Linked DNA regions of Oryctolagus cuniculus. The protein of the gene in region 3 interacts with the protein of the main gene of each other region in a pairwise test. Links are inferred from orthologs where the notes say so. Each region holds a gene or a part of one and is shown on either strand. Other genes may lie near its edges. The genes, in order: MYLIP, RASSF2 and RASSF5.

Region 1 (4,373 bases), on a different chromosome or scaffold from region 3:
CTAAGATTTATTTATTTATTTGAAAGGTAGCGTTACAGAGAAAGGCGGAGAGACACAGAGCTCAGAGGGCCACGACAGTCTAGGCCAGGAGCCTGAAACTCCATCCAGGTCTCCCACACGGGTGGCAAGGCCCAGGCACTTGAGCCATCTTCTGCTGCTTGCCCAGGTGCATGAGCAGGGAGCTGGCTGGGAAGTGGAGCAGTGAGGCTGGCAGCAGCTTAACTTGCTGTGTCACAACGCTGGCCCCTAGTCCAGTTTGTGCCCCTTTCGGTGAGGGCCTGTGGTAGGCTCCCTCTCTTTTGCTTTCTGCTCTGCTGCCTTTCCTACAACAGAAATCAAGCGACCTGGCACAGAGATTCACCCGAAAAGAGGTAGGAACGGGAGCCATCATTAGCAGGCAGTGACCGGGGCGGACATGACAGCTCTGGCATTAAACACAAGGACACAAATGCTGTCATGGATGGTCTCCCCTTGGCTGCTCTGGCGGCCCATAGAACAGATGTCTTGGGCTCCACCCTAGCAGCAGTTGGCAACACTGGGCCTCAGAGAGAAGTAAAATTTCCAAAGGCCTGGGGCTCCTCCTGCAAAGAAACCCGAGATGTGGGTTGAGTAATGCACTGGTAAGCAGGAATAAACAGTAACTGAGTGAAGAGCTGTGGAGTTCCAGTTGCTAAATAGCTACTACGGAACAGGGAACATGACGGCGGGGTGGGGTGGGGGGTCCCCGATGCAGCAGGGGCTCCCTGAATGCTGGCTGACTGAGCCGAGGTAAGACCTGAGACGGGATGGGCAGCCTGAGAGAAGGCCTGGGGCCCCGTGACGGGGGGCTTTCATTCGGCAGGGCTCAGCCAACAGAAGCCCCTAGAGAGGGCCGACCCTCATCTGCGAGCGGCTGCAAGGCGCTCTGACATTCAGTCGCTGTTATTTCGGAGCCAGGGTCTACACGAAGGGACCGCCTGGGTTGCCGTCCCCAACCAGACACGGAGGCAAACCCGGAGGGGGCGGGTAGGCGTCCGTGGGCTCCGCGGGGGCTCCTCTTCTTTTTAGGCTTTCGCGACCCAAACGCCCTCCTGGAGGGACCCCATGTTTCAGGGGCAGCTTGGAGGCGTTTAGTCCTCTCACTGTCGAGCCCCCGACAGGGAGACGTCGCCGCCAGCAGCCCGAGGCGACCGCTCGCGAGGAGCAGCGTCGCCCAGCGGGCACAGGCACCGGGTGTTCTCCGGGCCCCCCCAACCCCTTCGCGGCTCCAGGCGCCCGCCAGCGGCCGCCTCCCGCAGCGGCACGGGGAACTCAGGCGGCGCTGGTGGCCGGGGCCGCCCGAGCGGGCTCCCCGATTGGCTGATGGGGCGGCGGGAGGAGGGGCAGGGGCGCCGCGATTGGCCGGGTCCCGAGCCGGAGGGGGCGGAGCCGCTATATCAGGGGAGCGCCTGTCGCGGCGCAGGCAGTTGGCTGCTGGAGTGCGGCGTCGCCGCGGAGTGCCCGGGGGCCGGCAGGGCGGGCGGGCTGGCGGGCGAGGGGGTGGCGGGGACGGAGCTGCGGCCGCGGGCGTCTGTCTGCAGCCCTCGCCGAGCCCGGGGCTGGGTTCGAGCTTTGGCGAGGCGGTAGCCCCGCGTACACCAAAGAGGAGGTGGCTGAGGTGGCCGTGGCGGCAGCGGCGGCCCCAGCCATGCTGTGCTATGTGACGAGGCCGGACGCGGTGCTGATGGAGGTGGAGGTGGAGGCGAAAGCCAACGGCGAGGACTGCCTCAATCAGGTGAGAGCGAGCACCCAGGTCCGGGCCCACGTCGGTCTCCAGAGGCCGACGGGCCTCGAAGGCGGCCGGGCGCCTCAGGGAGCGCGCCCCAGGCAGGCACCGGGCCCCGCACCCCGATCCCGCTGCGGGCGTGCGGCGCGCGACCCCCTCCCGGGCGCGCTGGCGGGGTGCGGAGGATGCGCGCTGCGGGGGCCCCTGGCGCGGGGGCGCGGGCAGAGCCCGGAGCGCAGCCCAGCCCCCCCGCAAGCCGGCACTTTGCCAGAGCCAGGCGGCCCAGCACACTTGCCTCAGGTGTGTGTGCGTGACGCCGCCGGTGGGGTCCCTGCAGTGCCACCCACGTCCCAAAAAGGAGTGAGTGGACGCGGTCTCGGGCCCAGGGTGCCTTGGCAGGCAAGCTTGGCCCTTGTCCCGTGCCGCGTTTCCAGCGGAGCACTCACCTGCATCTTCGGATTTGCGGGCGGGGGCAGAGGTACTGTAGTTGTGGGTGCACCTGCTTGGCTGCCTTGAAGCCCGCGTTTCCTTCCAGAGCGAAGGGGGAACCGAGCTGGTTCGGCAGGCAGCAGGTCTGATCCCAGGGGACGCTGTGCTCCCACGCCGTGTAGACAGGAGAGGTTTGGAGAACCTCGTGTGACGCACAGCTGACACTTGTGGCGGGTCTCGCGTGCGTGCGTGCGTGTGTGTGTGTGTTTGGAGTCCAGGTGGTTAACACTACCCAGATAATAGCTGTCGGAGCAGCTCTGTGGATTGTGCTGGTACCGGGCATCGTAGTGACTGGAGTCAGAAGGAAGAGACCCTGAAGATGCCCCTGCTCTTGAGCACTGCTCTTTCTGGGCTGCTGTGGGCATGCCCTAGATATTGAGGGAGGGAGGGACAGGTCTCCGTCCTGGAGCCAGCGGTTAGCGTCGCAGCACCGGTGGGTTTTGGCAGAACTGTAGCAGTCTTCAGCTCCAGAGAGCCCCGGGTTCCTTTGACCCCATGTCCCGTTTGCTCATCCGTGCCGCCTTTGTTTTGACTTCAGGTGTGCAGGCGACTGGGAATCATAGAAGTTGACTATTTTGGACTGCAGTTTACCGGTAGCAAAGGTGAAAGTTTATGGCTAAACCTGAGAAACCGGATCTCCCAGCAGATGGACGGGCTGGCCCCTTACCGGCTTAAACTCAGAGTCAAGTTCTTCGTGGAGCCTCATCTCATCTTACAGGAGCAGACGAGGTAAAGCGGCACTCAGATAGACCCTTGTCAGATGCACCTTAGATTCTGTTTAGGGGGCGCCGGAGCAGCCTCCCCGGGGTGTTCACAGGCAAATTTGGTGCGGTGAATGCCTTCCTTACCCACGTTCTGCAGGGCACAGCCCTTTGGTTGAAGAGGGAGCCACATAGTTGGCCTGGGCGCATTTTGCAGCTCCTGTTTTTATAAACTTAATGGGAGAGCTGGGTAGAATTCCCACAAACCCTTGAGATTGTTGTCACATGGGGGAAAAAAAAAGAACCAGCCAGAGAAACACCAAACTGCCTACTTCCTGACAGCAGCATCCAATGGCCGATAGTAACCTCTGCCTCGGCAGTGTTACTGTAGGTCACTGTGGACGTTCTAACAGAAAGCAGGAAACAGTTCCTCTTGGGTTACTTAAACTTGGTCAGCTTCGGCCAGTGTCAGATTACAGTGTGTAGCAGAGAACTCTGTCAGGCTTTGTGCAGAATTTTTGAAGTTTTTAGTTTCTTGAAAACTTAATAAGAGCACTCTTTTAAGGCTACTGTAACTGAATCCTAACCCACAAATACATTGCACACGATTGGGGAGTCTCTCTCTGCCTTGTGAAAATCCACCACTAGTGGTAGACAACTGAAGCAAATGATCTTTTTTAAACAAAAATGTGTTCTCTCTGGCACTGACTTAGTACTTTTCTCAAGGGTGAGTGAAACTAGGAAAGTTATGTTTAATATTTATGGCTAAAATGCAAGACTTCAGTCTTACTAAAGCAGTCAAAAAGAAAAAAAACGAAAATGGCTACTTTTAAAAACAGCAAACTTGGATCTAAGCTGTAATGTTTTTCATAATCCTTTGCCTTGGAAATCTGCCATGCATGTGAAAAATGTGATTCTGAAAATTTTGAATAATGATGAGTGAGCAATATTCTTTAAAGATTTTTTTTTGGTTTGTTTATCAGAGAGCTGATAGAAATACATTTTGAAATAGTATTTATTTGAGTTTGAAATTTCCACTTTGTTTTTTTATAAAACTCAAAATGTTGAGGAAAATGTTTTATTTCTGAAGGAAGCAGTTATACTGAATTTTTAGTGCTCTTGAAAATATCTTGCAAAATATTCAAGTGACAGCATGCTTAAGGAAGTTATAGCTGTCTATGTTAATCAAAATGGGCTTTTTTTCTTTAAACTAATTTTTGAAAGCTTCTGCTTTGCACTTCACTGCCGTAACTCACAGTAGAATAAAAGACAAAGTATATATAACAAAGCATAGTGGAATTTTCATTACATAGTCTTATGATTTTTCAGTTATTTCGGGCTACCAGATACAACCCAATTTAAATGTTTTAAATCTGCACACATTTAGAGGGCCAAATACTTCATTTAAACAATGAAAGTGATGGTAGAATAATATATTT
Region 2 (4,229 bases), on a different chromosome or scaffold from region 3:
TGATCAACTGAGAAAGGAGAGAGATGGATTTGGTTTTGAACAGGGCCTGCAGGCAGGCGTCCTGGCAGCCCAGTTTGGACAGCAGGAGCCAGATGCTTGCTCATAGGACGCTCACCTGTCCCAGGGTGTGCCAGCGAGTTTCTCTTCTGGGAAGTGGCAGTAGAGGCTAAGGGATTTCAGCAGGAGCCTCTGGGTACTTCCACATCAGAGTGCCAAACCCAGGGCTGGGAGTTAAAGCGACGCTGTGTCAAGTGTCCAGGATGCAGGGAAGGCCACTGTGAGACGAAAGGGGAAAGAGACGGAGACCCCCTCCCAGCCGGCTCCCTCCAGCCTCTGGCTTTGCCTGTCTGAGCTCTCCATGAAGCCCCCTGGAGGAAACCCCCTGTGTCCTCAGAACACATTCCCCGGGGGCATTCCCCTTACCCGCCCGCAAAGGACAGGAGCTTCACAGCAAAGAGGCTCCAGCGGGGAACAGGAAGGCGAGAGCTTCGTGCTTCGAGCCCCCAGCACGGGCTGCAAACCCCCGAGGATACTTTTCCCCGGTGCAAGACGTCGCCCTGCTCCCGGGCGCGGAGCATTCTCAGCACCGCCCCACAGCTGCACTTCGGGCTCTGCAGACTTGCACCGGGCCGAGAGCGGATCCCCATGTGCGACATTGTTTCTAAGGGAGACGCATTCCAAGATGCAAACAATGTGCGGCGCGAAGAACGCTCCGCTTCCAGGCGGGGTTGGGGCTTGGCCACCCTGCACCCTTAGGACCCCTTCCTCTTGGGCGGGGGGAGATGCTGCAAGGTGGGCGGCAGGGAGAAGGTGGGATTCTGATAAGAGAACAGGAAACTCGCATCCGGGGTGCTCCAGGGCCTCCCGTGCCCTGGAAGCCCCCGGGCGGGAAAGATGGACAAAGAAACTTGGCCTCGGTCGTGCTTCGCTGTCACGTCTGCCAGCCCGCCACGGCGCAGGGGCCCACTAGCCGGCGCCCGGCTCAGACCTTGCCGGGAAAGGGTCGCGGTGTCAGGAAGGAGAAGCCCCCTTATCCTCTGCCCGGGGCAGGGGGGATCCGGGGCGCTCCAGGTGGGCTCGGCGGGCGTGGGCGTGGCTGTCACAGTGCCGGGCGCGCCCGGGAGCCCGGGAGCCGGGTCAAGTCTGCACCCCGCTGGGCGAGGGCAGCGGCGATGGAGCGGCGGGGGACCCCTCCCTCCGCACCCCCGCACGGCCGCCCCCTCCCACCCCTGCCGCCAGCCCGGAAGAAGCGTGGGCCGCGGGAGCCGGGACGCGCAGCCACAGCTTTGTCTGGGAGGGAGGGGAGAAGCTCCGCCCCCGGCGGGGAGGGGAGGAGGAAGAAAGGCGAGGGCAGAGGGTGCGGGAGGGATGGCGGGCGAGAGAAAGAGGGGGGAGCGGACGCGCAGACCCGGTAGGCTGATCAAGGCGGAGGGGGAGGAGGGAGCGCGAGGCTGGGCGAGGGGAGGGCGGGGCGGGGCGCCCGACCCCCACCCACCCTGCCCCTGGGGTCGGAGCCGGGCCTGAAGACCGCTGACAGAGGCGCGGCTGAGGCAGCTCCCCGGCCCCGGCACCCCCGCTTTCCAACTCCACGGTCCCCGCGGCGAGCGCGGGGTGCAGCTCGCCCGGGACGCAGGCAAGGCGCGGGGCGCAAGGTGCAGGGCTCGGCAGTCCTCTCCCCCGAGTCCCTCGCCTCGCCCAAAGTTTTCTGGCGGTGGCCCCTGCTTCCAGTCCGGGTCAGCGGGTCAGTCCTCTCCTGCCCCTGCGCTCCTCCCTCCTCCCGCAGCTGCGGGCCTTCCCGGGCTTGCGGACTCACCCCCACCCCTCATAGACCCCGCAGGCACCCGGCCCTAGCCCGCCCGCCTTCCGGCCGCAGAAAGTTGTGGCTACGAGCCGGTCCTCTCCTGGGATCCCTGGGGGGTCCATCCTTCTCTGTGCGCCAAGGGTGGAGGCGGGAGTGCGCCCCCACCCGTCCCCAGGGGCTCCGGGTCTCCCGGGCGGCAGGTGCAGGGATAGGCAGGCCCGTACATCCGCGGCGAGTCCCCGACCTCTATCCTCCCCGCTTCTTCCCTGCGCGACCGACGGGGCCCCAGAGGCGAGTTCCAGTCCCCGGCGCGGGGAGGCGGCGCACCCACGTCTCCTTCTGCCTCGGGTCCCCTGGTTCTCGGGGCACTTCCCTTTTTCGGTCTCCCAGCTCGCTTCCGAGCTGGTGCCGGAGGTCGCTGGGGATTTCGGCGTAGCGTCCTCTCTCGCCCGGAGCGAGGCAGGTGCCTAGGGCGGCCTCAGGCCACTTCTGCATTTTCAGCGCTTACTTTGCACTCAGCTCTAAGCTCGCGGCGCCCTGGGGACCGCAGAGTGGCGGTGGCTCTGTTTAAGCTCTTGGGGGGTAGGGAGGGAAGAGGAGCTGCGAGAGTCCTGCGCCGCAGGGACAGCAGACCCCGCACACAGTACTAATCAGCGCTGCTGCGCGCCCTTTATTCGCAGGTGTCCGGAATCCGCGGGTCTAGCACGTGTTCTCCGGGGGCGCAGAGACAGGGGACGCAGCCGGCCAGCGTTACAGTAAGTCCTGGCGGTGATTGTAGGAGCGGCTGAGCTGACAGGAGTTTCTCCTGGAGGGGACTCAGCTCCTGCCACTGTTGATTCTGGGATCATGGGGAGAAAGAACTAGAAACCATAATTGTTTCAAAAGGGGAAAGGCAGCCAGGGGGGCCTAGGGTGGAATCCCAGGTTGAATGGAACTTGCAACTTTTTCTGCAGGTGGAAGAATGAAACTTCTCATGGTCAGACACATTGGGTCGCTTGAGGAGAATTCATGTTTTTCAACTTGTAGCCAAATGCTGAGGTGTCCCACAGAAGTGGGGCCATAGGCAGGCCACTGGGCCCTTGGCCTTAGCAAAGATTGGGACCTGACTTGTAATCTGCCTGGGCACTGGGGAGTGTGGGCAGCTGGGGTTTGTGATTCCCTGTGCTGGGGAGCCTGGGAGGTGAGCCCTGTTTGCCAGGGGTGGAGTCCAGGGGAGACCCGAGATAATTCCTGGGGTACAGCTTATATATATCCTGGGTAATCCACTTCCCTCATTGTGTGTGGTGGAAATCAGGTTAGAATAATGGGGGGAGAAACCTGAGAAGCCTGGCGGGAGGAGCCCCTGGTCGTGCTTCCTTCAGGGACAGGTGTGTGTGTGTGTGTGTGTGTGTGTGTGTAGGGGTGCCTGTGTGTGTGTGTGTATGTGTGTATGTAGGGGTGCCTCTGTGTGTGTGTGTGTGTGTGTGTGTGTGTGTGTAGGGGTGTCCTCTGCTTTTAGCCAAGCAGGCCAGAGCACGGGCTGTACCTGCACCTGCTCCAACTCCGGCCAGCATCATCCCCACCTTCACAGGGGCAGTGTCCACTTTGTCCCTGGGCGCCGCAGTCCATCTCTCTCTGCATCTCTGCGCGGCTTCTGCTTGGAGACTCAGACTTTCTCCCCAGTTTGTGTTCTCTTCAGAGAACTTCATTGCAAGCCCTGGGCTCTCTCTTCCTTACCTTCCAATGCTGGGGCTCGCTCGCCTGAGTCTGCTTTTGTTTCTGTTTCCTGGTGCCCCGGAGCCAGTCTTCGTGTCTCTGCTCTGTGCGTGAGCTGCTTAGCAATGGCTGAGAGCGTCGACTGGAGAGCTGCCCGGGGCTGAGCATCTTGGCACCGCAGCTGCCTCAGAGGGCTGGCCAGAAAGGGGAGCTGTCAGCAGAGCGTGGGGGACCTTGGCTGGGGAGTGTGCTCCGGCCTCTTTGGGATGCTTTGGCAGGAAGTAGCCTCACTGTACGGGAGGTGGGGACAGAGAGTCAGGGCCAGGTTGCCAGAGAGGCTGGGAAGTGGAGCGAGTGATGTCAGGAGTGGCCCCAGGACTTGCTTAAGTCTTGCCCTTCCCGTGCGCACGTACCAGTGCAGCTACGTCCTTGGAATAGAACAGGACTTCCAGTCCCTGTCTTCCAGCTGTGGCTGCAGAGTGGCTGCAGCTGGGATTATAAAGCCCCAGGTGACAGTCCCTCCTGTCATGCATCACAGCCCAGGCCAGCTGTTTACCCCACTGACACACTGTCCCATGAACACCTCCCTGCTTCCCAGAAGAATTTTAAAAGAGTCTTGGAGGTGGGGCAAGCTCCACCAGTCTGTGATTGCCGGTGTCGCTTACTTGGCCTGCTTGTGGGTTCCTGTGGGGGATGTGGAAGGGGCAGGAGGCCCAGGGCACATGGGGCACAG
Region 3 (2,978 bases):
AAGTTCAAGGAAAACCTTTCTAATACGAATCATTCTCAACAGGCTTTTATTTTTTTTTTTTACAACTCATATAAGAAAGACATTTAAAAAGAAACTATCCTGAAAACAAACCCAGCAACTCCACCAGAGAAGGCACTAGCAGCAGCTGCCCCGCCCACCTCGGGAGGGGAGGGCCTCGGCGCAGCCTCCCACCCGAGTCCCGGGTCTGACTGTGCTTTAGAGACTCTGCATTTCCCCTAACTCTCTTACGTCATAAACACCCTTATCTCTATATATAGTTATATGCCTTTATGTATATATGTACATGACTTTTCTTCTCAAAAAATAAACGCCGCCCCCAGGGAGGGAGGTCTCAGCAGCATTCACAGCGGTTGCAGCAGGAGCCACGCCTTCTAGGAACCTCGGGTCGCACGGGCTGAGGGGAGGGGCCTCCCTGCCCCCTTTCAGAGGCAGGGGTGGGGGCTGGGGGGTGGGGGGGTGGTAAGGCTGAGCGTGGGCGGGCAGATCACCGAGTTGTTGCGGTTTAAGAAAATCTTCAGGGCGGCCAGCCTGTGTTGCTTTTACGGCTCTGAAGATGGCAGTGAGCACCAAGGGTCAGCACTCTTTCTGGGCCCGGGGCCGCATGGGCTTAGCTGGGGTCAGGGAGGGAACTTCCGAGCCTACACGGGGGAGCTTGGCCTTCAGCCAGCCCAGCAGGGGCTCAGGGACGCAGAAGACAGCAAAAAAAAGTTTCTCAGAGGCTGGATTGGAAAAACCTGCCCTGCTCTGAATATGCAAGTCCTCTTCCCTCCACACTGGAGTGTCTTCGCAGTCCAGGCCGCTTGGTGGGATGGTTGGCTCATTGAAGTCTGAACCGATACACCGGAGCCAGAACAAAGGTACAGGGCTGGGGCTCTGATCCCCTCAGTAACTGTCTGCCGGCACGTCTCGGGCGTGAGAGCCCTGGAACCTAGACAGGATGGAGGTATGGGACCCCAGCCCCTCAGGAGCCACAGCTCCCCTGGCAGGAGCAAGCCAGCCTCAGGGCTTCGAGCAGTCACCCCTGTTATCTCTGGAGACAAAGGCACTGAGGTCAGTGGGGAGCCCAGGCCCCTGGGCTTGCTGAGCACGGTGCCACGGGCCAGCCCACACTTCAGAGCAAAGGGCCAGCATGTTGGCCGGGCTGTGGGTTTCCCTCCGATCAGAGCAAACCCTCACGTTGCACCGGGCGATCCCAGAGTTCCTCAGCACGAGGGAGGCAGTGCTGGAGGCCTGGGGGAAGCCGAGGCAGCCCAGGCCTTCTCACAGGTCGGGTGAGGCTGAAGACGGCTTGCGCATGGTCATCTGCAATTCAGGCTTGCTGCCTGATTTCCGTGCTCAGCGGGAGGCTTCCAGTGGTCAATGGCTGGTTTCCCTTGGGTGGAAACACATGAGAATTCTAGTGACGTTAAATGTAAACTTAAACTGAAAAGCAAGTTTAGACAAAGATGTGACTACCCGATGGCCACAGATACATGCCTTTGGGTTTGCAAAGAGGGCCAGCGGGGCCAGGGCAGGCTGCAGCGTCTCGGCGCCAGTCAGCTTTGGCGCTCCCAGGCCTGGGACTTTGCGGATCTCCCCTCTGCAGGCAGCCTGGGGCAGGGGGACGATGCCCTGAGCACACTCCTGCCTGCCAAAGGCACATGCTCCAACTCATAAATAAAGGCGCCCAGGGGGAGGAATACGGGCGACTGAAGAATCAAAGCCAGAGGGAACGTAGCTCTTAACACCGCTTCCTTTTCCTTTGCCGGCTGGGGTGACAGGTTCCAGTTTGGTGACGAGAGACGCGACTATTTGGCTTCTGAAAGGCTTGCAGATTGAGAGGACAGTGCTGTTGGTTTCACGGAAGTGGCCCCTGACAGAGTCTACAGGGGCCACAGTTGGGGGTGGGCAGGGGCCAGGCCGCCCCTCCCACGCACAGACGCTTGTCCACGGAAGAAACTTTGTGCCTCATCTGCAACTGCTGGGCAGGCGCGCGCACCCGCCAGAGGGGTCCTGAGAAAAGTGTCCGTTGCAAAATAATTAAAAATAAATCCGAGGGCATGGGCAGGAAGGGCGGCAGGACCGGTTACCCAGGCTTGCCCTGGGATTCCCTTAGGGCCGCCTCCAGCTGTCGTCTAAACTTGCCGTACTTCCTCTGCACCTGCTGGATTTTGTCCTGCTCCTCCTTCTCCAGGATTGTGAGGAAGTTCTGGAGCTCAGGGATGGAGAAGGCGTCCCACTGTGTGAGGAGAGAGGGGGGGTTAGACGCGGCCTACAGCAGCGGTGCACGCGGCTTGCTACTGGATAGGCAGGGACAAGGAGCGGGGCTCGGGCTTTGCTGTCTGAACCGCGACGGTGCAAGTCCTCGCGTCTCCTGCCCAAGAGTTACCTGTCCATGCACTGTGTGTGCTTGGATTTGGAGAGTCAAGTTTTCTGTGTAGCTGCTGAGATTTTTTTTTTTTTTTTTAAGATTTTTATTTATTTGAAAGAGTTACACAGAGAGAGGGAGGCAGAGAGAGAGGTCTTCCATCCGCTGTTCACTCCCCGGATGGCCGCAACGGCCGGAAGCTTCTTCCGGGTCTCCCACGTGGGTACAGAGGCCCAAGGCCCTGGGCCATCTTCTGCTTTCCCAGGCCATAGGCAGCTGAGATCTTAACAGTGATGCTAGGAGCACCCCGGACCCCCAGCGGCAGGTGGAAGAGGACACCAGGCCTTGAGCCTGACCCCAATCCTGCACCGGCTGTGTGACCTCAAGGACATCACCCCACCCTTGTTTTCTCATTCCTCAAGAACTGAGGGTCTCTGCCGCCCGTGGCAGACCAAGAACGAGAGGTAGAGCCAGGCCTGCAAGCCCCAGCTCGGGAGTGCTCCACGGGGCCAGCGCTGGTCACACATGGAAGCAGCCTCTACACACTGGACAGGTAAAGGTTGCGGCAGCAATGCTGCCTGCCTGAAGTGGAGAAGAGGGACAGAGCCCT

The links.
Region 1: the proteins of RASSF5 (region 3) and MYLIP interact in binary tests that used the Homo sapiens proteins (3 or more experiments, as listed by UniProt). The two-hybrid records come from large-scale screens. The link is inferred for Oryctolagus cuniculus from reciprocal best matches to the Homo sapiens genes RASSF5 and MYLIP.
Region 2: the proteins of RASSF5 (region 3) and RASSF2 interact in binary tests that used the Homo sapiens proteins (3 or more experiments, as listed by UniProt). The link is inferred for Oryctolagus cuniculus from reciprocal best matches to the Homo sapiens genes RASSF5 and RASSF2.

What each region holds. Positions count from the first base shown.
Region 1 is NC_091436.1:143,408,889-143,413,261, forward strand, and holds the start of MYLIP (E3 ubiquitin-protein ligase MYLIP), read left to right. Parts: upstream 1-1,444; 5' UTR 1,445-1,666; coding exon 1,667-1,753; intron 1,754-2,771; coding exon 2,772-2,962; intron 2,963-4,373. UniProt on the Homo sapiens protein: E3 ubiquitin-protein ligase that mediates ubiquitination and subsequent proteasomal degradation of myosin regulatory light chain (MRLC), LDLR, VLDLR and LRP8. Activity depends on E2 enzymes of the UBE2D family.
Region 2 is NC_091442.1:29,939,540-29,943,768, reverse strand, and holds the start of RASSF2 (ras association domain-containing protein 2), read left to right. Parts: upstream 1-1,313; 5' UTR 1,314-1,411; intron 1,412-1,496; exon of another isoform or gene 1,497-1,741; intron 1,742-2,031; exon of another isoform or gene 2,032-2,260; intron 2,261-2,481; 5' UTR 2,482-2,556; intron 2,557-4,229. UniProt on the Homo sapiens protein: Potential tumor suppressor. Acts as a KRAS-specific effector protein. May promote apoptosis and cell cycle arrest. Stabilizes STK3/MST2 by protecting it from proteasomal degradation.
Region 3 is NC_091444.1:21,763,612-21,766,589, reverse strand, and holds the end of RASSF5 (ras association domain-containing protein 5), read right to left. Parts: intron 2,240-2,978; coding exon 2,087-2,239; 3' UTR 632-2,086; downstream 1-631. UniProt on the Homo sapiens protein: Potential tumor suppressor. Seems to be involved in lymphocyte adhesion by linking RAP1A activation upon T-cell receptor or chemokine stimulation to integrin activation.